Linked DNA regions of Caenorhabditis elegans. The protein of the gene in region 3 purifies or fractionates together with the protein of the main gene of each other region. This does not show direct contact. Each region holds a gene or a part of one and is shown on either strand. Other genes may lie near its edges. The genes, in order: bra-2, bra-1 and obr-3.

The links.
Region 1: the proteins of obr-3 (region 3) and bra-2 purify together in Caenorhabditis elegans (affinity purification with western blotting, with the first as the bait; one study listed by BioGRID). This does not show direct contact.
Region 2: the proteins of obr-3 (region 3) and bra-1 purify together in Caenorhabditis elegans (affinity purification with western blotting, with the first as the bait; one study listed by BioGRID). This does not show direct contact.

The regions. Positions count from the first base shown.
Region 1 is NC_003281.10:905,701-914,494, reverse strand, and holds bra-2 (MYND-type domain-containing protein), read right to left. Parts: upstream 3,235-8,794; 5' UTR 3,218-3,234; coding exon 3,077-3,217; intron 3,032-3,076; coding exon 2,702-3,031; intron 2,650-2,701; coding exon 2,476-2,649; 3' UTR 2,252-2,475; downstream 1-2,251. Other genes in the region: idpp-13 (DUF148 domain-containing protein), read left to right, coding at 1-5, 50-298, 1,050-1,247; F23H11.5 (Deltamethrin resistance protein prag01 domain-containing protein), read left to right, coding at 3,914-3,988, 4,033-4,167, 4,297-4,377; crls-1 (Cardiolipin synthase (CMP-forming)), read left to right, coding at 4,628-4,912, 5,160-5,289, 5,335-5,489, 5,916-6,086; F23H11.4 (Rho-GAP domain-containing protein), read left to right, coding at 6,966-7,004, 7,052-7,335, 7,384-7,568, 7,711-8,237, 8,291-8,794.
Region 2 is NC_003284.9:13,595,121-13,603,766, forward strand, and holds bra-1 (MYND-type domain-containing protein), read left to right. Parts: upstream 1-3,328; 5' UTR 3,329-3,350; coding exon 3,351-3,419; intron 3,420-3,508; coding exon 3,509-3,625; intron 3,626-3,672; coding exon 3,673-3,879; intron 3,880-4,112; coding exon 4,113-4,271; 3' UTR 4,272-4,567; downstream 4,568-8,646. Other genes in the region: F54B11.5 (RING-type domain-containing protein), read right to left, coding at 18-66, 201-358, 408-525, 859-947; F54B11.7 (CCHC-type domain-containing protein), read left to right, coding at 5,316-5,607, 5,656-5,990, 6,039-6,275; F54B11.8 (Yippee domain-containing protein), read right to left, coding at 7,867-8,010, 8,059-8,162, 8,558-8,646.
Region 3 is NC_003284.9:13,795,544-13,808,707, forward strand, and holds obr-3 (PH domain-containing protein), read right to left. Parts: upstream 8,033-13,164; 5' UTR 8,029-8,032; coding exon 7,879-8,028; intron 7,555-7,878; coding exon 7,363-7,554; intron 6,897-7,362; coding exon 6,807-6,896; intron 6,747-6,806; coding exon 6,633-6,746; intron 6,497-6,632; coding exon 6,422-6,496; intron 6,351-6,421; coding exon 6,105-6,350; intron 5,538-6,104; coding exon 5,350-5,537; intron 5,306-5,349; coding exon 4,720-5,305; intron 4,427-4,719; exon of another isoform or gene 4,233-4,426; intron 4,180-4,232; coding exon 3,908-4,179; intron 3,855-3,907; coding exon 3,617-3,854; intron 3,403-3,616; exon of another isoform or gene 3,382-3,402; intron 3,258-3,381; coding exon 3,096-3,257; 3' UTR 2,686-3,095; downstream 1-2,685.

The DNA.
Region 1 (8,794 bases), on a different chromosome or scaffold from region 3:
TTTGGGTATGTTTTCAGTGCGCTGTAAAAAAATAAAACATTTTTTAAAGAAAAATCTGCCAACTATTCCCCCATTTGTTTTTCCGACTCCGGCGCCTCGAGAATCTCAGTGCACCTATAAGCTTAGTCAGGAACTTCAGAACAATGCAACAATGGCGGCAAGATTGAATTACATGCAAGTTGAGCAAGTTCTGAATCGTCTGTTATTGGAGTCCACGTGGATCTGTAATGGTTTTCAGACACAGAAGCTGACTGATTTGACGAAAAAATACGCAGTGTTGCAAAGTGATATGCAGACGGTGGGAGTGTTTATAACGAAAATTATAATACGCGGAATATGTTAACTCTGGTGATCTTGAAGGTAGAATTACTAATCGAAAGGGGTCTCGCGGAGCAGATTGCATCTCGAGACGATCGTAAAAGTTTAGGTTCATACGTTTAAGTATACTGTAAGCATTTGGTAACCAAAGTGTCCTTGTGTTTGAATGGTGGAAATTGACGTCATAACTATCATCAGTTCATGAGACTTTCTGGCGCAAAAATAGTGGTAGCTAAAGTAAGAGAACATGTGGCAAAGAGAGGTTTAGGTACCTTCGCTACGAGATATTCGCTCGCCGAAACGGTAGGCATTCTCATAATCTCATGGTTTCTGAATATTTTTCTACAGGAACTACACTACCAAATGAGCCTCTTCCCCTAACAAAAATAAGAACACGTTGACTACGCGTAGACGTTGGATAAAACATTGGTCTATAGTAAATTACAATGCATTTTTTTCACTTCTACAACTTTGAAATATGGCGCGTGGTGAGGTCATTCCCCGTAATTGCGACCCCCCTTTGAAGTTGTAGAAGTGGAAAAAAACACTGCAAAAGGGACCTAAACTGAAAATAATAAAAGGTGAGACCCATCCTAATAAATGCAAAAAATGATCGCAGAAAGTAGGATTCGTCAACCAAAGTCATGGCATGTATTTTAGCAGAAAAATTTAGGCCCTGTCAGGACCTGAGATTTGGAGTTGAATGAAAACTCAAAAGTTTATTAATTCAGGTAACTTCTTATTTCTCAACTTCTGATCTCCAGCAACTACTTTTATCGATTCTACAAGGCGATACAAGCCAAGTTTTTCGGCTATTTTTCTCGAAAACAATGGAAAATCTGGCGAATTCTACAATCACTGGCGAGCTTTCTAAGGCGTCCACACAACTATCGATGCTTCAATTCGACTTGGCTATTAATACGATTTGATTTTATATAAATTTAAATAATTATTTCGAATAAACTTGAACAAAGACCGTCTCTTATCTTTAACGCGTGACAGTTTAGCGGATTACTATAGTTTTCGAAAAGATTTATGTGTTAACCAGCCGTGGACCGCACCTACGGCGCGGCCCCCGACTTTTTTGGGAAAACACATTAGATATACGGTGTCTATCGCGGACCTCGATCGATGTCTGCTGCGCATTTAGCATAAGGTTTCCCAAAATTTCGTTGCTCTGATCAGAGATCAAACTACATAGGGACAGAAGGACACGCGCTTTATATATAGTAAATGATGTTTAGGAAACACGAACACATTCAATTGTAAGATTTCATAAGAAGTATTAAGAAACCATGAGATCACGAGAATTCCTACCGTTTTGGCGCCGAAATATCTCGGAATCTCTTTTACTATGTAATCTCTTTTACTACAGAATCTCTTTTACTACGAATTCCGCATTCAGATCTTTTACTACAGTTGGCTCTTTTACTACGTGATCTCTTTTACTACGAGTTGCCTACACAGATCTTTTACTACTTTTTACTCTTTTGCTACGGACGTAGTTGTAGTTAGTGGGGGATACTGTTGGGATACTGTAGTGGTACTGTGCAGGGCTGGGACCAAAAAAATTTTAGACCAAAAAACAAAAAACAAAAAATTGATTTTTTTGAAAAACCAAAAAAACAAAAAATTGAATTTTTCGAAAAACCAAAAAAACCAAAAATTTTTGATGCTTAAGTTTATTTTTAATGGGGTTATTCAAGTATGTACCTCCAACTGCAATATTATTCAAGTTACAAGTGTTTTTAGAAAATTTGCATTGTTTGGGCTAATACCCATACTGAAAAAAATTTTTTTTAGAATTTCCACATTTCTAAACTTTTCTTCTGACTTTTGGCACACATTTTTCCTAATAGGCCTAGAAAAGAAGTTTTCCGCAGATGAAGACGCGTGTGTTAACTCGATATCTGTTAACACGATATCCATAAATCAATTTAATTAAATTTTTTATTGAACAAGGAAAACATAGAAAGTTCGACAAATTGATAAAGATGAAGAATAACAGAAACTCATTAGGATTTGGAATATAAATAGACGTGGTGGGTGAGATCAGCGTCGCATTTGTGCGGTGGTGGGTGGTTGAAATTTATTCAGTTTCGTGTTCTGACGTGAGATTGATGATAATGATGATTAGAGAGTTAAAACGAAAGAAAATTATTGTTGTTGTGGCGGCATTGGTGCTCCGACTTGTTGAGGAGCTGGTACACTTGGTGCTCCAGGAGCATTGTTTCCTTTCTTTCTGCGGCAAAACTTTCGATGAGTCTGCCAATGTCCCTGTTGGCATTCAACACTGCAATATGCGGTATTCCAGCAGCAATGGTATATAGCCTGAGATTTGGATAATATCATTGCTTTCATAGATGGAATCAAATATACTCACCTCATTATCACACGACCAGCACCATTGTTTCTTTCTTGATGCAACCAACTCTCTTTTATGCTTTTCATTCAACTTTGCACTTTCCATCTTCAAGTTCTCTCTGTGTTTGTTTTCTAGATCGGCTCTTGTCTGTTCCAACTCGTCTTTGAACTGTTGTAAGAGTTCCGATCGAATTTTCTGTTGATCCATCATGAATTCTTGATGCAACTTCTCGGTAAGCTCTACAAGACACTTCTCACGTGACGCGTGATACTCACTGAGCCAATGACGTTGCAGGTCGATTATCATTCGTTTCATCCCTTCACTGACGACCACTCCATCGAGATGATACTGAAAATAATCGATTTTTCGACAGGAATTTCATTGAAAACTGACCTGCCGCACATTATTTTCTAACGCCGCATCTCCGAGATCCTTGTCGATCGGCGATAGGTGAATATCACCTTGTTGAGGAACCACTCCTTGCTGTTGTTGCTGATCCATCATCAATTCATCATGCACTTGCCCATCGGCCATCTTTTGCACGGGTTTAACTGAAAAAATTGTTGTGAAAAATCGATAGAACGTTCTACAGTATTCAGAGTAGTTTTCAAGGCGTTATCAAGAATATAAATCAGTTAATACGTATAAAAGAACATGAATTGACTGTTGAAATTATTTTTATCAAAAAAACACTTTAAAAATCTGAATCACAGCAAGAAAAACGAATAACAAAGAGCTACCGTACGCGCAACAGAGAAAGAAACAAATATTTGTCAACGACACTCCGTTATAACGGTGCGCATGTTGTTTAGCGTAATCGATTCAAGGCCGCCCGCTCGTTTTCTCTCCTATTTTAAAAGTTATTTTATCGATTATTCTTATTTTTCCGTGGTGGTTTAAGTAAAATAATTACTCGTAATATATTAAAATAGACATTTCGGCATTTTTGCGCATAGAATCATTATTCAAGTAATGTAGCAAAATGTATTTAAATACATTTGTGACGTCACAAATGTATTTAAATACATGTTTTTATATACTTGAATACAGTTGTGACGTAATTTTTCTACACTTTTTAATTTTCCGACACTACTTGAATAACCCCATTAACATAGGTTTTCGAAATATACTGCTTTCTAGCATAAATTGAGGTTTGCAGACTTTTTTCTTAATCAACTTTCCATCTACAATAATTTTTGGTACTTTCGAAAATAAATTATTGTTTTCAGGATGAACCGTACCGCTTTCAACCGCTTCTTGGCTCTTAGTCGTTTTGCACAAAAGCGTCACGGGCACGGACATCACGTATTGTTTATTGTTCGGTTCAATGTAGCAGCGTATTTATTCAGGTCGCCAACCCGGGACCACCATGCACCTTCGACTTGATGCCAGTGCCATTCCAATCTTACAAGAAGGTCTACGGCGAGCTCCAGGGAAAGTTCAACACCTATCTTGCAGTGTCAGCGGTTTTCTTCGCTTCGTCGGTTGGTATTTTACTATATTTTTTTATTAACATTAACGATTGCTAGTGAGATTCAGGATGGATTTCCATAAACAAACAAAAATTTACTAGGTCGCGGGGTTTTTTTTTTCAATAATTCAACATTTTACAGTTCGCCACCGCCATCTACACTAACCTCTTCGCCTTCGAAGAAGCCATCAGACCACCACAGAGCTATCGCAATCGCAAATAAATGCTCATTTGCCTCGATGATCGATTTATTTCTTTATTGTATTCACCAATTTTTAGTTTAGCCGAATATGTCGTGACAACTTTCTGTGGTTTCGCCTTATGTGGCAAATGAACAATTTTTGACTGTTGTCACTTCCGTCGATTGTCTAACTGTTTTATCGAATTTTTGTACTTGCGAAAGCTTGATTTACATATGAGATCTGAATTGAAATTCAGATTTGAATCGCTAATGTTACTGCGGAAGTGTTGAAATGATAGTAACATCGATGTTTCGTGGTATTGCTTGCCGCTGCGAGCTTCAACTACTGCTAACTCCTCGTCGAATGCTACGAAACTTTTCAAGTTTGGAGCAGAAGCAAAGTCCAAAAATAGAGTCACTACCACCGGAAGAACGCGGCAAATACAAAGTGGCGACTATCCCTAATGCAATTTGTACAGCACGAATCGCGGCGACTCCACTCATCGGATATCTTGTTGTTCAACACAATTTTACTCCTGCTTTCGTGCTTTTTACAGTCGCCGGAGCAACGGACTTGGTAAATCTCTTTTTTTTTCAGAGAAAATCAAACAGTTCTTGATTTATTGTCGAAAAAACAACCAAAAATGACAAATGTTCAATGAGAAAAAACCCTAAATATGCGGACAAATTTCGAAAAATGTTCAATTTTCTCGGGAAAAATCACTGAAAAACAAATTATTTCATATTTCCTTCACAGAACCATTTGAAAATTTAAATTTTTGGTGTTTTGCCAAGAAATCTTTTTGGAAGTCAATAAATTTCAGCTAGACGGCTTCATCGCTCGCAACGTACCCGGTCAAAAATCACTGCTTGGCTCCGTGCTTGATCCTGTCGCTGATAAACTTCTCATTTCAACAATGTTCATCACAATGACTTATGCTGGGCTCATTCCACGTAAACAATTCGGCCGAAAAACTTTAAATTAAGCGAGTTTTTCAGTACCCCTCACGTCTGTTGTCATTTTGCGTGACATTTGTCTCATTGGAGGTGGTTTTTATAAACGGTATCAAGTGATGAGTCCACCATATTCCCTCAGTAGATTCTTTAATCCACAAGTATCATCTATGCAAGTTGTACCAACAATGATGAGCAAGGTAGGCTTATTTTGTTCAAAATGTATTGCTGGTGGCACGAACATGGTATTGGTTTTGAACAGTCAATAAATATACTTAATGCATTATAATGTGTCGAATTTTAAACAAATTTTTGTGGTTATATTTCAAAGGGTACTGTAGTTTCAAACTTCTGTTGATGCTGAATTTCCATCGAACTATTGATTTATATAGTTTTTGGGTTAAAATATATTTATTTGTTTTGAAAAAACTTGAATAAAAAAATTACAACACATGCATTTTCAACGAATATTTGTACGAATTCGTGACAAAAAAAATTTATGAAATGTCGATGAAAATTCCGCAGTTGAAAGTGTTAAACTACTTTTTTAAAAAAGCTCACCATTTTGTATTTAACAAAATTTCGTCGTGTTGTTAGGACCGGATACTCTATTTTTCCCTTTCCAGATCAACACAGTACTTCAAATAACACTTGTTGCACTTTCGCTCTCCTCTCCAGTTTTTGACTTCTCCACAGGTGCCAATGATGTCATAGTTGGTCTCGGCTGTATCACAGGATTCACCACAATCTACTCGGGACTACAGTATGCCAGTGGGAAGGCCATCAAAAAAATTTAATTATTATATGTTTTCGCTAGACTGTGATCCTCCTCGTTTGTCAATCATTTTTACACGAGAATATATGAATTTGTACTTATTGTTTAAATCTCATTTTTATTTCACGCGGTTCTATAACCCATCCATCTTTCTTCAATTGTTAGTTTAAATCGACTATGTTCGTGTGATGACTCATTCTTTGTTTTTCTTTCTCTGCCTCACACATCGTCTATTTTCTTTTGTTGGGATATCTGCGTGTCTGCTGATCTTCACACTCCTTCGTGTACACAGTGCTCTCTGGGTATCTTTCTTTCCTGAGTCACTGTAATGTCCAACCAAGAAACAGTTTCACCGTGAAAGTGACATACTCTTTTTCTCACGAATTCAATTTGCGTTAATTAATCAATTATTTTCTCACAGAGAAAGGTTTTGACTTTACCCTAGGTCTAAGCTTAGTCTATAAAACATTCCATGTGACGTTTGATTGACTTGGAATCTTTTTTGAAAATTTCTTGCTTTTTTGACCGAGATAAGATCCTATCAGATTCGCCCATAGAACTGTTTTTGTAACCACCGAAAAGTTTTGAAAACAAAAATTTAATTAAATAATCATTTAAGCTTTCAGCTAGGTTGCAAAACTTGAATTTTAAAAAAACCAAAACATTTTTCATGCCATTTTTTTCTAAAAAGATTAACTTTAATTTCGCCCAAAATAAGTTTATAGCTGGAAAGCACACAACTCCTTGTTTACTTTAATGATATAAGAATTCGGTTTTTCCACTCTCTTTCTTGCAGTTTCATCTTAATTTTTTTTCTGTTTATTTATTTTATGACTCAACATTGTTCATAGTTGTCTCTTTCCTCTTGAAAATCGGTATTTCCTCTTTCAGAACCGTTTTAATGGAAACACCAGTGCCGAAACCAAGGACAAAATTTGAGGTTTTCATTGATTTTTTTAAATAAAATCGAAACATTTTCATTTCCAGCCATCGTCCCCTGAACCAACGTTGCCTCCAAGACCTCCTGTGAAGCCACCTCGTGCCGTTGCAAATTCAACAGCTGTTCAAAATTTTGGCAATGTATTGGGAGAGTTGCGATTAAACTTGAACGAGACGATTTCTTCTCAAGATCCACCGGGAATTGGATTTATCGAAGTGAGTCCGGGGACTTCGATGAGCCCACCACAAAGACATGCTCCACCGCCTCCGAGACCACCTCCACCAGCTGGATGGAAACAGCATCCCGTCATTCCCGAACGAATTCAATTAAAGTATTTTTTGGCTCTTTCAATATTCTTTCTCAAACACTCATTTTGCAGTCGACCTCTTCCTTCTCTCCCAATCGACGTTTCATTGACTCCGGTATATTCAGAACCGTCAACATCATCGCCGAGCTCGACTAATTGTTACGAAAATCACAATTCAAGTGTGGTGGAGAATCCTCTATACCTCTCGCTAGACACTTATCGATCCATTTCTGGAATTACGCCCTCACCGTCAAATGGTAAGTATCTTATTAATTAGAAAAATTCTCCTGAGTATCGTTACCAACATTGAGAATAATATTGCTCCAAATGGTTAGGCATTTAATTTCCCTTTAATAAAAATTATACCTTTCCTGAAATCTGTGCAAGAGAATGTTTCAGCTCCCACCACATCGCCAGATTGTGATGAGCTGAGAGAATGGCTAACAGAGGAAGAGGAAAATGAATCATGCTCATCGAGTCGTCCTGAAAATCTCAACGCCAGCATTCCAGCCCCAATACCAGGGGATGATTCCCGGCCATCTATAGACTCCGAAGAAAACCCATACACTCCATGTCCACGAAGAAGTGATTATGATAATTCTGAGTTTATCGGATCTACCATAGATCCATTTGATGATTCGTTTTACACGGACAACACAACAAATAATTCACATCAAAATCTCTATGTTTCGCCGCAATTCGTGAAAGAAAAGACAAAAAGCGAATGTGATCGGTATGAAAATGTCGTCGAAATCTGCTCTTCACCAGATCCACCACCAACTCACTTATATGTCAATGTGCCGCCAATCTATCCATCAGCTGACAATATTATTTCTTCAGAATCAGATGATGTTTTTAGAGATGAAGGAAAAATGAAAATTGATGGAAGCTCTATTACGTTTGTCGGATTTGTTTCGTTGACTAGTGTAAGTTCTACGATTCAAAGATTAGTAAAATTTGAAAATGTAAAATTTTTCAGTCAAAAAAAGAAAAACGTTTACATTGCCGTCTCCGCAATATGCAGTTGTCTTTTCACGATGATGAAGATTCTACAGAACCAAGTAATGGAACATTCGATATTAAAGGCATCTACCTGTTTCGCCATATGGCTTCCGATACTCCATACATTTTGATTCACGTGGGAGAAAAACGAAACGTTATCTCGTTTATCCCAGAAGATCCTCCGAACCTTTGGATGTTCTTCCTTTCCGAAGCTTGGCTCTCACTCAACTACGGTCTAACATCAGTTCTTCGTGACGCTGATGAGCTCACAATATGTGGTATCACTTGGATAAAACACGGAACCACCGGAGAATGGAAAATATGTTCTGCTGGAATTAATGGTCTAACACTTCACTATATGTTGGTGGACGCAAAGGATCGAATCTATAATCGAAATAGTGAGCGGTCAGATGCTGGTACATCGTTTATGTCAACTGTAGGGTCCATTATTGGAGATGAGCTCGTAGAAGTCGATTTACGG
Region 2 (8,646 bases), 200 kb from region 3:
CGAAATTGAAAACTTACATCGTTGATGTTTTCCATACAAATCACGCAGTTACCCTCGACATCCGATCTGCAAAAAAAAGTTGAAGTGACCTGTGAAAAATTTTAAGGTTAAAATTTACTAACGAAACAGTCTTAATTAAAATACATTTTCTTTCCAAATATAACGATATCAGTGTATACTTTTTTCTTCGTGTAACTTACGTTTGAGTCAAAATGAATTGACTAGTCGACATGGGATCCACGCTTCTTTTACGGCTTTCCTTGTTGGTGATCATCAGCTTATGTAGATCATATGTGGAGAGAAACTCGCGAAACGTCAGCTCCTTGTAGTTTAACACTTGCTTCGACATTTGATTAACCTGAAAATTTATTTTTTCAATGTTCGATTTGTACAATGAAACTACTCACCTTGCAGCAGAGAATTTTAATCTCTGACTTCCAGTTTTCATATCCTTCACGCTGATAGTCAATGTTCCGGAGAGCGAAGGCCAAGTACTCCTCGTTTTCGACAAGAAGACTGCGATAACTGAACGAATAAAATGTTAGTTAAGGTCGTGACGCCATATTTCGTAATGTTTGGGAAACTTCCGAGGAATCCGATCTTTGGTGCAGGGTTCATAAGCAAACACTTCAAAAAATGTTGCGAAAAGATTGTTTCACACTTTATGTCCAAATTATTTTTCGAACACCGCTAAGGAAAGCCTTTTTATTTATAAATTTTTAATTGTTGCTGTATAAAAAAAATAGTGGTATTTTCAAAAAGATTAAGGAAATTAAAACATTTGGAAATTATATTTGATTTTTCAAATTATGAATTATAAATATTGCAACCAAATTTGACTCTAACAAAAAAACATACTTTCGGTTCATTTCCTTAATATCGGCCAAAAATTCATCCCATGTGCATGACTGAAATCGTGGATGTCGTTTTGATTGATTAGTACCCATCCTGAAAAATATTTTATAATTTAATCTATTAATTTACAAGAAAAACGTATGTTTATGCGGAATTAGTCATGCAAAACACATGACATCAGGAAAATGGTTCAAATAAACTGCGAGCAGGGTGGAAGAGCGGAGTAACGTAGTGCGAGAAATTGAGTGAAACGAGAGACACAGAGAAACATAAGAAAACGTATCGCATGAGTCCCTTGCACTCGTGAACAGTGAGCAAATTAATTGTATGCAAAAAAGGCAAGCACACAAAGTGCAGGAAATATTCTGGAAATTAAACGTATAAAGACATTTTTCTAACAAAACAAAAAGTTTAGTATTTTATGAATTATCTAACAATGTAAGTCATTCTATAAACGTTGTCATCATACATCATACCACTTTTGAACTATCTGTTTTATCCAGCTTGTAAAAATCAGGCACCTCTATTTGAAATTTTTTCGTACACAAAAAACTGTTTTTAATAAATGATTACATAGGCACATTACGCGTCTTATCATATGGTTGTTAACCTGTTCAGCAGATAGAAAAATTGATAACAACGGAAATGAGTCATGTAAAATCGATCCGGCCTAACATAATTAGCCGAGCTCGGAAAGTTCCGCAAATCTACTTTTTTGAAATTTGCCGAGCCCGGCAAACGGCAAATTTGCAGCACACCTACTCAGATAAAGATGAAGCCGATTAGGATACATCAAGCAGATCAGTGCAGAAAAAACTGATTGTCCCAACCGACTTGAGTATCTTCGGAAGTCAATTATAGTCTAGTTAACTTAGTTAACTTAGTTAATTGTCTAGTCAACTGCAATCCACAGTCGAAAAAATGCTCACATAAAAAAGACATAAAAAATTATCACATTTTCCTAGTTTGTTAAGCACGGCAAATATTAAAAAACGATATTTGCCGAATTTTCCGAGCTCTGAACTGTAGAACTGAACTGTACATTATCACCCATTACTACCCTTCGTTTTGTTTCATAGGATCCAACAAATTTGGGCGTCAAGAAAAGAGAACGAATTGCAAAAAAACTGCAGCGCCAATATTTTATGGTTCTCATCTTTGCGATATTTTTATGTGCACCGCCGCCCTCATCTATTGCCGCGTTGGAAGGAAAATATACGATATTCAATGCTTACTTCAAAATTTATTCTGGATATTTTTGAAAATCTCGCAGACGTGTTCAGTCAGCATTCGTGGTTGAGGATATCGAACACAAAAAAAGATATCATCGATCACGTGTGATGACAGATTTTCTGCGACTAACAGGTTTGCTTAATAAAAGTTACTAAAACGCTGAAACTTCTGGAAATCATTTTAATACTGTTTTCTTAAGATATCTTTGCAAAACTGGAAAAATACCAGAAGATAATCAAAGTCAGTCAACCCTCTCTGTACATTTCTGTCACATTCCTTCTGTTTTTCTATTTGGTGCGTAAAAAACGAATATTGTTTTAAAAAACAATATTTATCCCTAAAAATTTCCAACAAGAATTTCCACATATTTCTCTTGATATTCAATTTTTCAAAATTTTCGGCTAGCTGGGCTCTAATTTCCGTTAGTCACAAAATCTCATTTCCCGTTTTGCGAAGCCCTTCAAGCTTCAATAATACACCATTTCAGCCTACGAGAATCATAAAAATTTTATGATTAACTACGACGTAACCAAGGGTATCTGAGCTTTTGGGGCAATCTTTTGAGATTTCAGTTTTGTTTCCAAAATGTAATAAAACATTTTCCCAGTTTAAGTTTTTTGTTAAAATTTTAATTTTTTCCTGTGTCGCACAGCAACAAGGCTTATAATTATAAGAAAAATTTCTAAGAATACGTTTTCAAAAAACTCATTTTTTCTTGATTTTCTTTTTCAAATATTCATTCTCAAATTTTCCATATCCACCCGGAAATTTATTTAAGTGCGTCAAACACAAATTCAAATTCTTCCTTTGTTTTGTAAATCAAAAAGTCAGATACGTCACAACGCATTCTGTTCAAAAAATGTAGTCTGTGAGCAGGTGACCAGAACCTTCCATCTCTCAATAATCTCTTCTTTATCCTTTCATTAGACTGCGCAACGCCCTCCGGCTCATGACCACATATCGACTCGCCTCATGGGCTCATTATCTGCCATTTCCTTTCTCTCTGCTCTCTCTTTTGCTTTACCTCTCCGCTATCTCTCTACGGTCGTCATTTGAATATTACCTCGAGACAGCAGACGGCCGTCTGCTCAGACTGGTGTAAACCAAGAGTGCCGTAATTCCGGAGCATCGTTGTATCTGCGTGGAGTTGAGGGGTTTTAAACGCTTTTGTTATTTTCTTTTTTATATCGGTGCTGACGAGAGTTTTTATTTTTGATTAGTTGATTTAATTTTTTTCCAGAGAAACACAGTTATTTACAGAAATGTCGGAAGAAGCTGAAGCTGGACCATCGCCAAAAGTTAATGGGGAAAATGGAAACGGAACAAATACGGTAAGAGCTTTTTTTTTTGAAAAATATAACAGAACAACTTTCACTAAAATTTTTCACCGGGAAAAAATTAAAAAAAATCATCTTTACAGTTCGACGACTTGTACGTGGATGACAAAATGCGTCGAATGATTGTCGACCTTCAGCGTCAATGGCTCACGGATTATCACGATAGCCGCGAGAAATCTCTCGTTGCTCTAACTGAAAAAGTAAGTCAACCACCCCAAAGTTTTAATTTTAGAAATCTATATTTTAGCTCCATCAAGAATTCATGGAAGATCAGGAGCGAGTCCGTCGCGATTTGTTGGTTCAGTTCAAGATAGAGCTCGACCAGACAAAGGAAGAGCTGGAGAAGAAGCACGCGGAGAATCTCAAGGAGGAGATTGAAAAGCTGTCGGAAAAACACCAAAGGGAACTTGCTGTCGCTAAGAAGAAGCAGTGGTGCTGGCAATGCAACAGCGAGGTGAGATTTTATGATTTTATGATTTTTTGATTTAGACGGGTTCTCTATTTAAAAGATGTAGAGTGTTGCCAGATATTTCAAAATCTCTAACATCAGTCTGAGTCGTGATACCAATGTTCATAGTACTATATCTTATTTGTAAGCTAATTTTCTTTCGAGCATGAAAATAATTCTTTTGCGCTCCAGTGCTGTATTAATAACGCTAGACCTGAAACATCATGATCATATTTCAGGCAATCTATCATTGCTGCTGGAACACTGCTTATTGCAGCGTTGAATGCCAACAAGGACACTGGCAGATTCATCGCAAGTTCTGCCGCAGAAAGAAGAGCAACGGTGGAGCCCCAGGACCAGTTCAGCCAATTGCTGAGCCTACTCAAAGTCAACAATGATTGAAACTTAAATAATATGCTATCTGCGAGCCGGAGGCCCTTTGAAAAGTAACAAAGCTTGTGTCAGGTTTTCGAAGTTTATCTCATCACACATCCCGTTTTCTGTGTTACTACTGTATATCTTCTCTCCAATAACATGCAATATTTTTCTATAATCCCATGACAACAACAATTTTAAGATCTTCTATATAAATCCTGTTAATTAGGAATTTGGATCAATTTCGGAGAGATCTCAAACTTGTGTTAATTCCTTCGAGAAATAATCAAGAAATTATGTGAATAAAGTTTATTTTGATACACATGTCCTTTTGGATACTGTAAATGTGAAAGATGACAAAATGAAAATGTTCCTAGACACTTATGGGGATCAAACGTGTTTTCACATCCGATGTGTATTGTATAAATGTAAACAATTAACGAAGATATGAATTGACATAATGAATTGAGAGTTATTCAACCTCTGCAATTAAAATGAATATAAACTTCTCTGAAAAACTATTTCAGAAAGCACCCAAAAATTCAAATTAGAAGGAGTGCTATGAAATTTACACGGATTGTACAACAAATATACTTTGTTTGAGTTTCAACAACGAAACGAATAGAAATTGCGATTTGTGAATAAATGAACATCGTTTGAGTATGTTTAACAACTTGCGATGCGATAATAATAGTAAATCTTGCTCAATAATGTGTAAGTGCTTTACTATTCATCAGACCGATTCCTAAATAAGGTTTGTCGATTTTTCAGAATTTTTCCGTAAAGTAAATCTAAATTAATTTTGAATTACCGATAATTAGGCTTTTTTCAGAATTTTGTCGCATTATTTTCGCTTTTCAACTCTTCTTGACGGAAAAAAATCGCAATTATTTTTACACTCGCCCTCTTGATTCGAAGCGTTTTTTGTTTGAAAAATTCTTTCTTTTCCTATCTCCGCAAGATGAAAAAAAAAATTACCTTAACCTATCTTGTCGTAGTACGACTAAAACTTGTAAAATTGTAGAACGCAAGTTCTGTTCATAACTAAAATAATTAATTACAGGAAAATGCATCCAAAGGAAACTGCCGATCAGGCGCCAGCCGACAGTGCCAATATACAGCAACAGCACACCGACACCAACATGCCAGCGGTGGAGCCAATGCCGGAGAGACAACGCCCATCGGATGTAGTTGGAGATGAAATCATCGTCTCTACTAATGATGACAGCGACGTCACAGAACCGGCCAAGAAAAAACACAATAGTGTCAGTCCAACAACTCCACCCGCCAAGCCGAAGGAACCAGCTCCAAAAACTTCATTGAGCAAGAGCGATAGCGGTTCGGCAGACGAGTTGAAATGTTAGTAATTAAAGTTAAATTATCTCACATTAAAAACGCTAATTCTAGATTCGAATCTGCTGGTCGAAATCGCCAACATCAACCATTCAGTTAAACAGCTTCTAACTGATATGGATACGGTGAAAGAAGATGTCAACAACACCAAGAACGCTGTCTCCAAGATTGAAACAACAGCACTCAATGCTGAAAAGCTTGATGAAGTGTACGGGATGATACACGAGATGCGTGGAATCCTCTACGTCATTGCTACGAAGGTGGATGAAATCCATCGAGCGAATGGAATTTCCACCATCAACGCCAACGTCGCCACACAAGGTGTAGCCGCAGCAGCTCCACTTAACGTCACTCCACCATCATCAGCAGCGGTCAAGCAGGTCACAAAGGTAACAGTGTAAAAGTTGATAAACGAAACTAGAAAGTTACAATTTCAGTTTTGCCACTTGTGCAAGAGAAACAACCATGCCACTGAAAACTGCCTCAAGTTTTCTTGGTTCCTACCTCGCAGAGAGCAAGCCTTTAAACGTAGGATGTGCATCAGATGTATGGAAACCGGAGTACGCAACACAGCGAATGTGCACGTCAACTGCAGCATGGCTCACGTGGAGTGCCCTTATTGCGCTGCTCTTTACAATGATCAGAAAGCGAAGTGTCACAACATCACGTTCTGATCTACCAAGTACAAAGAGCCACAATACAAGCCACGAGCCAACAAACGCCCGTCGGACAAGGTGAGGATGAATAATTTTTAACGTAATACCAAAAACCAACAACTTACAGCGTGAAGAAGCTGGAAGCCCAAACTATGTTCCTCTTGTAAAACGCAACTAGGCTGTTCACAGCAATCACAACCACAGCAACCACAGCAATCGTTAATTGTTTAACTTATGTACATTAATTCATTTTTCCCGTGTTCCACTGTTTTTAGGCATCCGACAGGGCCTCCACACATCTCACTTTTTTAATTCAAACTGAAAAATGTTTTTTGATATTCTTTATTTTTCTTCTTATTTCTCCTCATTTCATCTCATTTTTCTTATTTCTTATAGCCCTTTACTATTATAATGGCTTTTGTCTTATCTACGCTTCTCAATTTTCATTATTCTTACTTATACTATATTTACCACATATGAGTTGTCCAGTATGAGCTCGATCGTTAATAAATACTTTTATATATTTTTGCGGAAATTCAAAAGACATTTTTTTAATTTCTGAAAAATTTAAAAAAAAAAGTATATTTATTTATTTAGAAAATTCTGGATTTTTAAATGGTAAAGTTTGGTATATTGAGACTGTTTTTTAATTTTTTTTAGGCTGTAAAAAGAAAAATGGGCAACGCGCGCGGACACTCGTTTTGCACTTACTATTAAAAAGAGACGGGGTAAAAAAAAATCAAAAAGAAACAGGTACAAGCTAGACGGGAAAAAGTTCAAACGTCAATGATGTAAAAATTTTAGACATCTTGTTATGTTTAGTTATGTTTCAGACATGTTGAAAAAAAAAGTTTTATTTTTCAAATTTAAATAATTTGAAGTGATTTGTCCATTTGTGCAAACAATAATTTTGAAAATCAAAAATAACATAAAAATTATTAAAAAACATGTTCTTGATGCAGCAATTTTTAATTTTAATTTCAAAAAAGTGTTCGAAAGATACTCACAACAAAGTGTGTCTTCCAAAAAGTCTTTATATAAAGATGGCTGAACGTCCGAAAACTGATGAACCTATTTGAAAATCAGTAAAACTAGCCAGAGAACGGCTTAAAACGGCTCAAAAAACGGCTCAAAACATTCAAAATTTGCACTCTCAGCGAGGAGTCACTTATCATTGATTGTAGACAAAAATAAACAAGAAATATACTCCAGTTCGCGTTCCCCACGGTTCCTTCTTTGTTTATTTTTTCTTACATTCTCTTTCTCAAATATCACATTCAGATAATCTCAGAACAAAAATGTTTAATACAATGATAGTATGAAGAAAATTAGAAGTTTTTAAATATTAAATCAAATCCGATGTTTAGTCAAAACTTCAACCAAATACATCAAAAGCGCATAAAAATGAAGCAACAAAACAAAGTTTATTCAAAATACAAAACAAGACAACTTAACAATATTTTTACTGCAGACACTATTAGCGATCTTGTTTGAAATTTTGAAAAGCTCGATTAGAAATTGTAAACTTTTCAAACGAAACCTCACAAAAAAGCAAACTGAGATTATAATAAAAACTGGAATCAATCAACAGAGCGGTTACCAAATTCTTCTAACGACGGGGAAGTTTGATGCCGGTTTGATACTCGACAGGGATCAAATGTGTCATCACCGAAGTACCTTTGAGCAAGTACATTGCAGCGGTTTGAGTGCAGTCGAGATTGATGTATCCCTCGGAATCCTTTGAGATTTTATACTGGAAGTTGTTGCTTGGTAGGCATCATCAAACGATTTCGAAGCTTACCATCGAACTCAAGAGCTGGGTGAAGCGCTTTTTGACTCCTTCCTCACAATCAACACATTGGAGTGTGGCCGGATGAGAGTAGACGGTCATGCGACTGTCGTAACCTGAAAAATAGCGTTTCGTTCAACTTTTTTAGTTTATACAACTTTGACAGACTGTAGAAATAGTAGCAACGCTGTAGCAGGTATTTAAAACCCAAAATAAAAAAAATCGAAAACTTTGTCTACAAAATTTAGAATAGACAATTCAATATTTTCATTGTTTTTGCCCATTAACTGACGTAATATAATTAATTTCTTCAGGCTTAGAATAATTTTTTCTCAAAGAAAATAATTCGCATAATTTCATCTAAAAAACAGATAAAACAGCACTTATGATACCGACGATATATTTTCAGAAAAATCGTTGCTTGGTTGTCATACTTCATTTATCTACGTGTTACTATGGTATTCTTTCCATAAGAGAAGTGGTCCAAAAGAGAAAAGAGAAGAAGTCTTACGAATGTTTCCCGTTGCTCGAGCTCTGGCCGCTGCGTTCAGGATGGCGATCTTGAAAGAATCGAAATTTTTCCAACAGCATACACAGTTA
Region 3 (13,164 bases):
TTCTAGAAAGTTCTGGAACATTCCAGAAATTTCCCGATTTTTCTAGAAAGTTCTGGAACATTCCAGACTTTTCCCAATTTTTCTAGAAAGTTCTGGAACATTCCAGACTTTTCTCGATTTTTCTAGAAAGTTCTGGAACATTCCAGAATTTTCTCGATTTTTCTAGAAAGTTCTGGAACATTCGAGAATTTTTTCGAAATTTCCAGAAGATTCTAGATTTCCAGAATTTTAGAATTTTCAGAAAATTTCAATTTCCCGCAAAAATATTTTTCACAGAAAATTTAAATTTCCCGCCAAAATATTTTTCACAGAAAATTTAAATTTCCCGCCAAAATATTTTTCACAGAAAATTTAAATTTCCCTCCAAAATATTTTTCTCAGAAAATTTAAATTTCCCGCCAAAATATTTTTCACAGAAAATTTAAATTTCCCGCCAAAATATTTTTCACAGAAAATTTAAATTTCCCGCCAAAATTTTGGGTCTCACCACGGTGGGTCTCACCACGACGGGTCTCACCGCGATGGGTCTCACCACGATGGGTCTCACCACGATGGGTCTCACCACGATGGGTCTCGCCACGATGGGTCTCACCACGATGGGTCTTTCCACGATGGGTCTCACCACGATGGGTCTCACCACGGTGGGTCTCGCCACGAAGATCTCGCAGCAACATTTTTTTAATTTTCCAGAAGGTTCTAGAACAATCCAGAATTTTTTCGAATTTTCCAGAAGGTTCTGGAACATTCCAGAATTTTCTAGAATTTTCCAGAACCTTATTTCCCGCCAAAATATTTTTCACAGAAAATTTAAATTTCCCGCCAAAATATTTTTCACAGAAAATTTAAATTTCCCGCCAAAATATTTTTCACAGAAAATTTAAATTTCCCGCCAAAATATTTTTCACAGAAAATTTAAATTTCCCGCCAAAATATTTTTCACAGAAAATTTAAATTTCCCTCCAAAATATTTTTCTCAGAAAATTTAAATATCCCGCCAAAATATTTTTCACAGAAAATTTAAATTTCCCGCCAAAATATTTTTCTCAGAAAATTTAAATTTCCCGCCAAAATTTTGGGCCTTACCACGGTGGGTCTCACCACGACGGGTCTCACCACGATGGGTCTCACCACGTTGGGTCTCACCACGATGGGTCTCACCACGATGGGTCTCGCCACGATGGGTCTCGCCACGATGGGTCGCGCCACGATGGGTCTCACCACGATGGGTCTTTCCACGATGGGTCTCACCACGGTGGGTCTCGCCACGATGGGTCTCGCCACGAAGATATCGCAGCAACATTTTTTAAATTTTCCAGAAGGTTCTAGAACAATCCAGAATTTTTTCGAATTTTCCAGAAGGTTCTGGAACATTCCAGAATTTTCTAGAATTTTCCAGAACCTTCTGGATAATTTCAGAATTTTCCCGAAGTTTCCAATTTCCCTTCCAAAGACGGGAAGTCAATTTTTCATAAACTACCGTAATCCTACCGTACTCCTACAGTACTCCTACAGTACTACTACAGTACCCCGAACATATTCCACTACTAACCGCAAACCTATATCTCTTCAAAAGACAAAAGCTCAATTTTTCCTAAACTACAGTAATCCTACAGTACTCCTACAGTACCTCTACAGTACTACTACAGTACCCCGACCATATCCCACCACTAACCCCAAACCTATATCTCTTCAAAAGACAAAAACTCAATTTTTCCTAAACTACAGTAATCCTACAGTACTCCTACAGTACCTCTACAGTACTACTACAGTACCCCGACCATATCCCACCACTAACCCCAAACCTATATCTCTTCAAAAGACAAAAACTCAATTTTTCCTAAACTACAGTAATCCTACAGTACTCCTAAAGTACCTCTACAGTACTACTGCAGTACCCCGACCATATCCCACTACTAACCTCAAACCTATATCTCTTCAAAAGACAAAAACACAATTTTTCCCAAACTACAGTAATCCTACCGTACTCCTACAGTACTCCTACAGTACTACTACAGTACCCCGCCCATATCCCCCTACTAACCCCAAACTAATATCCCTTTAACAGCCGATAACGCCTTGCCTTTGTAAGCTATGACGTCACTTGTTAACAAACGGACACTATTTTTTTATATATAGGTAATGATTTTGTTAGAAAAAAATTCAACGGAAAAATGAAAAGCAGAGCATTGCGCAGAACTGAAATGAGCCATTTTTGTGTTGAACATGTAGAGCATCTGGCGTCGGACACCAGATATTTTGGTGTCATCTTAAAAGAACGACACTGCTAGCAGGTGTCAGTATTTAGTTGTTATAAATTGTATAGCTGAAGTTCTAAAAAAAATCTGAGGTCACATCTGTTAGTATCTGGAAGGGTCACCATAGTGCGTGGTACAAGAAACATCTGTGATCGTAAGGTCGCTGGAAACAAGATTGGTTTTCTAGAATTACAGCTGTAAAATAAGGGTGAACAGATACAGATCAGATTTTGTGAAGAAAAAATAATATAATTAGTTTTTTCTTGTTACTTCTATATTTTTTATTACCTATCCATATTTTAACTAAAATTAGTTCATAAACCTGAAGTAACTATAATTCTGTGAGCCTATATGTTTTTTGCGACACATCACTTTGTATGTGTTATTGTTAAAAAATTTTGAAGTAGGATAGACTAAATCGCTGCCCAAATATCTTGCTCTAAGAATCCTAATCAGTAGGATTCTTAGATCAGTAGGATTAGTTTATTACACATCTTTTTTGGCACAGACTCTACACACAAAATTTTGGGAGGTGGCAAAAAAAAAAGATTCATAGGATGAATATTGATGGTTCAAAATAGTGAGAAGAGGAAGCAATAGGAAAAAATTAAAGGCAGGAAATGGGTTAACGAATTTTGGAGCATAGCACGGGGAAAGAGAAGTAGCGTTGAAATGGAAAGAGGGAAAGAGTTTGGACTAGGATTCAGAGGAAATGAAAACAAAAAATCACGATGAGTTGAACCGAAACTAGCAAAATAAGCAAATTGACAGGAACAAAATACAAATAATTCATTGAATAATATTAATATACAAGTCAAAATATTTAATATTTGATACAGATCACTTGCGAAGCATGAAGAACATGAAAATAGATTGAACTACCGAGGTTACAACAAAAACGAAGAGCAGAGTTGACTGGATAGCGTTCAACGTTCGGGACGATTGTCTTTCGTTGGCTGCTTCCATTCTGCGAATAGCCAATTCAAATTTGCGCTCCATTTCCTAAAACAAAAAGAGTTTTGAAAATGTATTTATACACTATTGATGTTGCTTTTTCATGATCCAATTGTTAATTGTCTACAGTTTTTAAATAGTTACATATGGGTTGGAAAATTCATACATTCAGTGATAACTAACCGCTGTCCACGCCAAAATAATAATTCTTCCACTACTTTTTGTAAGCATAAGGGATCCTGTATGAATAATGTTTAAAAAGTACCCGAGAACACAGAGCTTCCACCTATTTCTTTGATTTTTTCTATTCTGTACTTAATTCGAGCTGTATTATTTTTTCTTTTGCTACTGAGATTTAAAAAACCCACAATTAAACAAATGACCAAATTTATCATCAATATACCTACCTTGATACGCTCATCAGCGACCTCCGGTGTGATTGGTTTTGACTTCGCTGGGACAATTTCCTTCTTCTTAATTTTTGGCTCAATCACTTCTTCATCGCTTTCACTGGCCTCTGATGTATTGTCACTGCCCAACTGTTCACTGTTTCCCGTTTTCCTTTTGGAGTGCCTCGAAATCGTTTTTACCACGTAGTTGTTCTCAATTTGTTGAATATCGTTGTTGTTGTCCCATGGGCGGTAGCTGAAATGTTTTGCGTTAAAATAATAAAAGGTTGCATTTTTTTTCAATTATACTCGGCATGAATGTACACATAATCATCTCCGTGCTGTTTTTTGAAGAACTTTGTCTCGTGTGGAATTCCGGATTTGGCGCGCGCTCTTTGATCGTTTTCCAAAGCCGTCTTTTCTTCTGTAGCTTTGTACTGATCCTCGTTCGAAATCGCTTCAGTAACGTGGCGCCAGAGCTTAGCCGATTCCCATTCGCCTTGCTCATCCATGTTAATCTCGTAGCGAGGAAGCCGAGTTTTGATCACTTCTGGTGTGGGATTCCAAAGTTCTTTCTTGCCCTGAACATTGGAAATTAGTCATAAATTGAGGGTGAACGTAGTTTGAGAAGAAGCTATATATAGATGTTTAAATCTTAAATTGATTTAAAAACTAATAGCCAGGCATGATTTTTCAACTGTTATCTGGATCAGAGAGAGAGGCTATCAAAAATTATTAGCAGTTCTACAACTGCCAGCTTTAAAAAAATTTTGTTGATTGGCAATTTTGGTAATATTCAATAGTCCAGCAAGTGTACATCTATCAAAATCAAAACAATTTGAAAAATGACTATCAAAACTTGAACAAAAAAACTGCTGAAAGTATTGATTTTGTTTTAAAAACTAGAACTCTTTTTTGAACTTATACTTTTTAATCTAAATTTTAATTTTTCTTTTTTTTTGGACTAAGATTTTTACTAAAATGCAAAAGTTTTAACTTATTCTTAAATTGTAGCCTTATAAATTTTTGGTAATTGCCAAATTTTCAAATGAAAAAAACTGGTATTCTCGAACGTAAATTGATGACCCCTGATCTAGTAATGACAAAAAAATTCAACTCACATCTGGTCCCTTTATCCTAATAACTCCGTCCCATGCACCTTCAATACTGGCCAACCGATCACTTCCGTACTTGATACTTCCCTCAATTTGATTGTAGGCTCCTCCAAGCATTGGCTTCAACTTGAAATCCAGCGTGGTCCTGTAGCCGGTCTTCTCGCACTCAATGTTAACCTCTCCGCCAAGTTCCATAGTCATGGTTCCGATCATGATTCCTTTGCAATTGGCGTATGGCAGGTTGACAATGTATGTCTCGCCAAGATTCAGCAACGTCAGACGAAGCTTCCCGGCAAGAATAGCTGACAGTGAATTTCCGTAATATTTGCTCTTGGCTAGAATCGTTCCGCTGATATTGAACCCGGCTTTTCGATTGGTGATGAAAAGTGATGAAACTGGAGGGTGATGAGAAACTTGTTCGGCCATGTAGAAAGTTGTGGATCCATCTGGATGTTCCCATTTACAACGGAACGTTTCACCGAGAATTGGATTGTAAGGCTTTTTGAGTCCCTTTGGTTTTTTGTAAAATCCAGACAAGAAGAACTTGGTAACCTTGACAATTCTCTGAAATGGGTCTGGCTCTGCAACAGCCCTGAAACAAAAATATATAATAATTTTCACACCAAAATTGCTTACTCTGAAATGAGATCGGCATGATAATAATAATCGGCAAGTTTCTCCAAAAATGATCTTGGCTCGAGGATAAATGTAGGGAGGACAACTTTGGAAAGGTCCATTCCTGGGCGAATTTGCTTGAGCAGTGTCCAGATAAGTGACTTGTTTTCTTCGCCGACTTCTTCCGTTAATGAACCATCCGGGCCAAACTGAAAACTTGCATTTGAAACACTAAAGATAAAGTGTTGGGATATTATTACCTAAATGGTTTCAAAATAACCTAGGAACACCGGTTTTCATAATGAAATTTCAAAAAATATATTGATAGTTGTTTATAACAATTTTGTAAGTTTTTCACAGTTGGAAAGTTTGGAAGTTTGTTTAATTTTTCAAAAAAAAAGCTGAGAAAGTTTTTTTGGTCAGCCTATTAATTAAACACTATCGAACTTGTGCACCCATCAACTGACAATTGATTTTGCGATAATCAGATAAAGAAAGATTTTTATTTGCTGCGATACAGATCAATTTGAAAAATTTATAACGTGTGCCATTTGTTCTACTTTTGTGATTAAATAATTTGTTTCTCGATCAAGATGATGAAAAAATTAAATAAAAACAATTCAAAAAATATAAACAATTCAAAAAATATTATAGCAATAATTTTTTGTCAACCAGAATATGCCCATTTGCCAATTTTTGCAGTTGCACATTTTGTGAAAACTAGCTTCACAGTTTTATTAACTTTCTTCAATTATTGCTCTTTTATGAATACTCACCACTTCTTTCGGGCTCGGAATCCATGCGCTCTCTGTGAATGCCTCTCTTATAGTGTCACTTGTCTCTGACATTTTTCCGTCTTCATGATCTTCATCTTGGACATCATCAATCTCTTGGAAATGCTTTTCAGCATCCGTCTCTGACACTGCCAATTCTCGAGTATCATCTCCATCGGAATCGCGTGACATTCTTGATTCATCTCTCTGACCATCGTTCATGCTGCTGTCTCCATTTTTGTCATCAAGCTGCAATGAGAAAAAGGTCAAGAGGCTGTATAAAATTTTTGAAATTTTCAGAAATCGGAAAAGCCAATTACCTCATTCATAGTCTTTTTCAGCAGTCCAGTGCACTTGAATGACAACTCAAGAGCATCCATCCAACATCGGCCAGCCTGAACAATTTGCGTTTTTAGGTTCGTATGCTTTTTTTCGGCTAGCTAATGTTTGCCCAACAAATATAGCCGAGAAAAATATGAACTCATTGGGGTAAAAACAAAGAAAGAATTGGAAATAATAGTTTGAACTAACCTGGTCGCTGGGTGCTCTGCAAATGAGAAATGATGTGTTCAGGGGGTTTAAGGTGAAGCTTCCAAACGATTGTCCAAGTGGGCCACGGTTGCCCCAAATGCTCATGTCCATTGGCTAAAAATGATTCAGATTCATAATCAAACCTAGAAAACCTAGACAATCGAAGAAACTTACGTGAAACAGTTTGAAGCAAAACCCATCTTTTTTCGACGGTCTCTCAATCAGCTCGCAATGGTTAAGAAGAACTGTTCCGACCCAATCACCCTAGAAAAAAATTGCATTCTCAAAATAAAATCTTAGCAGATGTAGGTTGCTTGGAAATAAAGCTTAAAGTTTTGCTAAATTTTTAAGGGAACAATAGAAAAAATGTTTAAATGTGAAAAAGTGTTACTTGTTTCTTATATACAGTAGTATAAACTAATTTATAGCCGTGGTATCAGTCTGGCTCATTACAGTTTGATCTACAAAAAGTGCGGGAAAAATTGTGACGTCAGCATGCTCTTAACCATGCGAAATCAGATGAAATGTCTGCGTCTCAACTCCCGCATTTTTTGAAGATCAAATCTAAATAAGAAATTCCGACGCAATTATTAAATTAAATTAAATATAATCCGTAATTTACAATTTCAAGTCTGGAAGCCTGTATGTCTGAAAAAATAATTTCTTGAAAAGTACTTTTAACAGCACATAATTTACACTTAACCTAATTTTCGCCCATAAAACTACTTACCCTGTCCGCTTTTTTGTGCTTGTACAAAATGAGAAGTCCAGGCTTGAGCACGCAGTAATACCGGTTCCACCGTTTCAGAGCTCCGCGAATCTTGAGCGTGTCCGCCATGACGACCACTGTCGGATCGCGCAGCGCCGACAAAAGCTCATCGTTGACGCGTTTCTTCTCGTCGCGATACTCCTTTTTTTGTTTCTGCAAAACGAAATTTTATATGGATTGGGTTTTAAATTTTTAATTTTTGATCTCATTTCAATTTAAACTCAAAAAAAAAAGACAAACCTTGCGAGCCTTTTTTGATCTTTTGGTCATTCGAAACTAGAATGCTACACCAGGCATTTCATACTAGGTTTCATGTTTTTATCAGTAATCCTCTCATGTTTCCCACTAAATTCCAGGTATTTGCATACTTGTCCGTGACCACTGTACAAAACTCGTGACAGCACTAGAAAACACTATGCTACTTTACTGTTTCTACTAAAGACAATGGTCAAGAGCTTTAGTGTCCGCTTTCACTACCTTGATGGGCGACGACGAGAATGATAATAATCGGTGATAAGCGACACTGAGTGATGCACGCCTCTGCTTGTGAGCAGGTGGCTCCACAATTCTCATGTCCTCATTTGGTGAGGTGATTGTGAGCTTTCGCTCTTTACGGCGTTCCAACATTCCTTGAAAGATATTGGGATAATGAAACTTTGTGGAGCACGGAGAATGGAAAAGAAGGAAATGTTAACATCATGGGAAAATATTACATTTTCACGGAATGTTGCTATTTGGTTAACTGGGGGGAAAGCGGAAAAGTTTTGGGAAACAGAAGCAGCGCATATAAACTTCGAGAAAATAAATATGTGAAAGAAAATTGTTTAAATTTTTTTTCATAAACAGAATCAGAAAAATTTAAAAAAAAAACGTTCATGACTAATACGTTATCAAGAAGCTGAACTACTACAAAAATTTGAAAATTGACGGACTTTTTGAATCTGAAGTCTTGCTATAGGGAACTTAAAGTAAAAATGTATTAAAATTGTGGCAAAAAAAATAACATTTAAAATACTCTAATTGTGTTACATTTTGCAAAACTGTTAGTCAAGATTTAGCCAATTGCCTAATTTAATTTTCAATTAATTCTATTTTTTGAAACACAATTTTGAGTATCCTTGCGGGCTCATTAGAACAATTTTGAAACATAAAAAACATAGAAATTCAAATTGTTAATTGACTTTTCCTAACATAGATTAGCATTAAATAGATAATTTGAAACATTTTTCCCACTGACGCAATTTTGCATTTAAAATTTCTTATTATTGGAAATCAAAAAAATTCACTAGACTCAAAACCAGGCACGTTTTTTTTGTTGGGAAAGTAATCAGGCGCCGTGATAAAAATATTCGAGCTCAGAAAAAATAAAAGAAAAATATGAATGAACTCGAATATTATAATGAAATTCTTTTTTTTTCCAATGGCCTGAATGCGTCGTTCCAAAAAAAGCTAACTCAGTTATTTTTTTCCCACAAAGATTTTGGAATGAAAAAACCGCAGATGAAAAAGCTTAGAAATAGACTTTCGAAATTTGAAAAACGATTCTCCTCCTACTCTCAATGTCCTTGTAAAATTACATGCTTGAAAAAAGAGCAGCTCTTCAACACGATAATAGTCTATAGTCAGCGCGTCAAAAGCCTACTACGAAAAAAGCATTAATTTTTGCTTCCTGCTGATTTAATGAGCTAAGTACGCAAATAGGAAGTCAAGCATAATTAGTATACAGAAAAGAAACCAACAAAAAAGGAAATGAGAAAACCCGGAAAAAAAGTAAAAAACCAATTGGAGTAGTGATAACGGCAGAAACTGACAAGCCACCATCACCTACTAAACAAGCACAACCCACTACAAAAAGCATTTGATTGTGTTTTCCCCATTTCATTTTTTTTTCATGTAATTTGTTACCTGTTACGCATTAGTCATAAAATTTTGAAACAATTTTTTTTGAATTCATGCTAGTTTTTTGTATAATTTTATTTTTCAAAAAATTGTTTGATGGTAAACAATATTAAATGAATTAGAATAAACAACTTAAAAAAAAAAAAGACTACGAATAAAATTTCTATAACGAGAAAAAAAAGAAAAGGAAGAGAGAAGAAAGTTGATGTACTTCTACGGTTCGGTGGCTATGGGAAAGTAGGCAAAAATAGAGAGTAGAATTGGACAACATTTCTCTGTTGCGCGCGCGCGTATAAAAAGCCACGAAGGAGATTTTGGTGGAGCAACACAAATGCAAATTAGGTGGTCGTACCTAGAGCCGGTGCAGTGTGAAATAAGAGGCTTTAGACTTCGCAGTTGACTTATGAACTTTTTTTTCAATTATAGTCTTAAATTAAAAAAAAATTTTCTGTCAGTTTTTAGATAAAATCTACTTTTCAAAAGGTAATGGTTTCTGAATACTATTTACTCGAAATCCCCATGGTCCCATGATCTTTTTAATTTTTCGGTAAGAGCAGTTTTTTTTCGCATAAAGTCGTATAAAGCATAAATTTCAATTTTTCCGATTTCAATTTTTCAAAAACAAGGTACATCAAAAAATGTGCTTGTTGCGAAGCTTGGCATCTTAAAAACTTGTTAACAAAACATATTTCAAGAAAAAACTTGTACCAAGTATTCAAAATATTAAAAATTCCAACAAAACCGAATTTTTAAAACTTGTCGCATCATTTTTTTTTCAAGAAAACACCTGAACTTTTCTCAGAATCCAAAACTACAATAACTTGTTTTGAAAAAAGTAGAGTGTAAATACCGGAACCAGGTCTCGTACGCGTGCGATTATTAAGTTTATATTGTTGAATTTGTGGGATCGCATCTACGCATGTTTCCCCGAAAATGAGATGTATTCAGAAATAGTAAAACAAACGTTTTATTAAAAAGAAGAAAACCCTCTTAAATAGTGTTTGTCTCAAATTTTTGTTTAAAAAAATTAATTAAAAAGGATTAAAGGACGATCCGTTCTTCAAGTGCTATGCACTGCGGATCTGGGATTCAGGTACACTGCCTGGTGGTGATCCCTCTGGGCTGTAATTTAAGCCGAGAATTTTGTGATTTGTTTTTTTTTAATACTCACTATTACTTGGATTAAAAATATTAATTTTAAAAAAATCAAGAGTTTTGATGACTTGCTAATTCAAACTATTTTCTTTTTTAGCTATCATAAATTTGTGAAAATCTTTTTATTTCATTTCAATAGCAACTATAGTTCTCAGCTGGAAACAGAGCCATGGCATGCAAAAAAGGGAAATGCGTGTTTGGCACTGCGTTCCATTTCTCCAGAGTGTGATAACTATGTACGTCTCTTGACACATCTTCGGATTCTTTGAAAAAAAAGTCATATGTGGGTGCTGCAGCCACAGCTCGGCAGACAAAAAATAGTCACGACTAGTGCCCCTAAGGCAGAAATGCAACGAACAGCTCAGATATAGTAATTTTGTGTAAAAAAAACAAATTGTTTTTGAAACACGTGCTTGAAGTTTCGTAGTAAATATTAAAAAAACATATAACTAGCAAAAATATTTTGATTCTTTTGAAGTTGGATTTTGTATTGTCTAAATAAATTCCCAGAAGTCGCACGTTTCTCGATAAAACACAACTATAAAAGTTTGATTTCAGAAAATTTGAAGCAATGGAGCACGTCTAAAACCCTTAAAATTGCAGATAAAACTAATCAAATCTTAATTGGAATATAAAAAAAAAGGAAAAAATTGTAAACTATAGAAATTTGTGTGTTAAATAAAAATTTCTCAAATAATTGTTTGAAGCGCTGCTGCAGTTTAACAATTGACTTCCTATTAATAAGTTTGCATTAAATTGCTAAATTATTATTTTTTCTAAAACTGAGACATAAGTAATTTTAAGTAATTCTAAAAAATAAATCTATCACTTGAAAAATATATCAGCTTTGAAATCTTACCGGTTTATCCGATCTTGGTCCAAAATGTTTCAGTAGCTTTATTATAGGTGTTTCAATAAGTTTTGCAAGTTTTTTCATAGACTTTGTCACCAGAATATGGGAAAATGATTTCAACGCTTGAAATTTTTATTTGAAAACTGGAAGGTCAAAAACCAGTGAACTCTACATGTTTATTTTGATCACCTGATCAACCTCCCTCAACGTGAAATATGTTTTCTTTTTTGAAAAATGAGGGAAAATGATGTGTTATGTTTTTATAAAACTGTGAAATAAACAACATGTTGAAACTTGGTTATTTATTTTAGTAAGAGTAGGGATTAGGATTTCAAAATGTAACTAGCATTGGAGTAAAAAAATTTTGACTTCACATTTTTGACGAGAAAGAAAAGGTGATGAATATCCTCCAAACAGTAGTTTGAAAAAGAAACTCGAAAAAATTACACACTATGAAAAAATTTTAAAAAAAACTAGGGATCTTCACTTGGGGAAATTGCAAATTTCATGAGCAAATCAATACATAAGCAGAGTTTTAAATCATTTTCAAGTTTGGGTGAAGCGAAAACGAAAATTAGGACTAACTTATCGGCTCTTTCCTTTGAAAAACTGTTTTAAAAAATTTTCAACATGTTGTTTTATTATTCACTTCATACAGTGTGGGAAAGTTCTATAGGACCCCCCCTAATTTGAAGGTTTGAGGAACTTCCGAAAATTTTTTTGAAAAACTGCTAATGCCATTCGTTTTTAAATTGAAAAAAACCTATATACATTTTTTTCCAGAAGTTTATCTCAAAAACTGAGGTCGCGCTGGAAAAAACGTCAAAATCCAGTGTGAAACTTCTATAGGACCCCCCGTTTTTTTTCACGATTTTTACTAAAATCAACAGATTTTGGAATTTTTGACAAAGCTCAAATCAAGTTTGAGTTAGAAATGAGTTCATATAAGCAGTTTTGACTTTAAAAATTAATACGAAATGTTCTCGTGGGATCTCCAGACTGGTTCTGATTCTTCCGATCTTTGATGTTCAAGTCTGTTTCAAGCTTCCTGGTGCTCTCGGTAATGCCAAAACTTGATAAACTCTCTTTAACAAGTTCCTACTAAAATTCCTAGCACGCACTTTAGATGTTTCGACTGTGTAGTCAAGCTGATTTGGCAAAATATGCAGCAGGAAACAATGGAAGGCTTATCAGGAATCAAATCGTTTTTCTTTGATTACAAGGTTCCATGGGACCAATATTTCAAGTTAAATTGTCCCTCACAGATGTTATTTACTATTTTTTGCGTGAATTATTAAATGTGGAATTGTGGCATGTGTTGTGGCACACATATAGAGGCTGGAAAGCTTACTTCGAAAGCAGTCTAACTTGCAATGCCTCGAGGATCTGCCCTTTCGGACACTGAACGCGCTCAGCTGGATGTTATGAAATTGCTCAATGTGTCCCTGCATGAAATGAGTAGGAAAATTTCCCGTTCTCGACACTGTATTCGCGTGTATCTGAAGGATCCGGTGAGCTACGGTACATCTAAAAGAGCTCCTCGTCGCAAAGCTCTCTCCGTGCGCTGTTTCTGACTGGTTTCTTGGGGATGGCGTAAAAATGTTTATGGTGTGTGTGCTAGGAATTTTAGTAGGAACTTGTTAAAGAGAGTTTATCAAGTTTTGGCATTACCGAGAGCACCAGGAAGCTTGAAACAGACTTGAACATCAAAGATCGGAAGAATCAGAACCAGTCTGGAGATCCCACGAGAACATTTCGTATTAATTTTTAAAGTCAAAACTGCTTATATGAACTCATTTCTAACTCAAACTTGATTTGAGCTTTGTCAAAAATTCCAAAATCTGTTGATTTTAGTA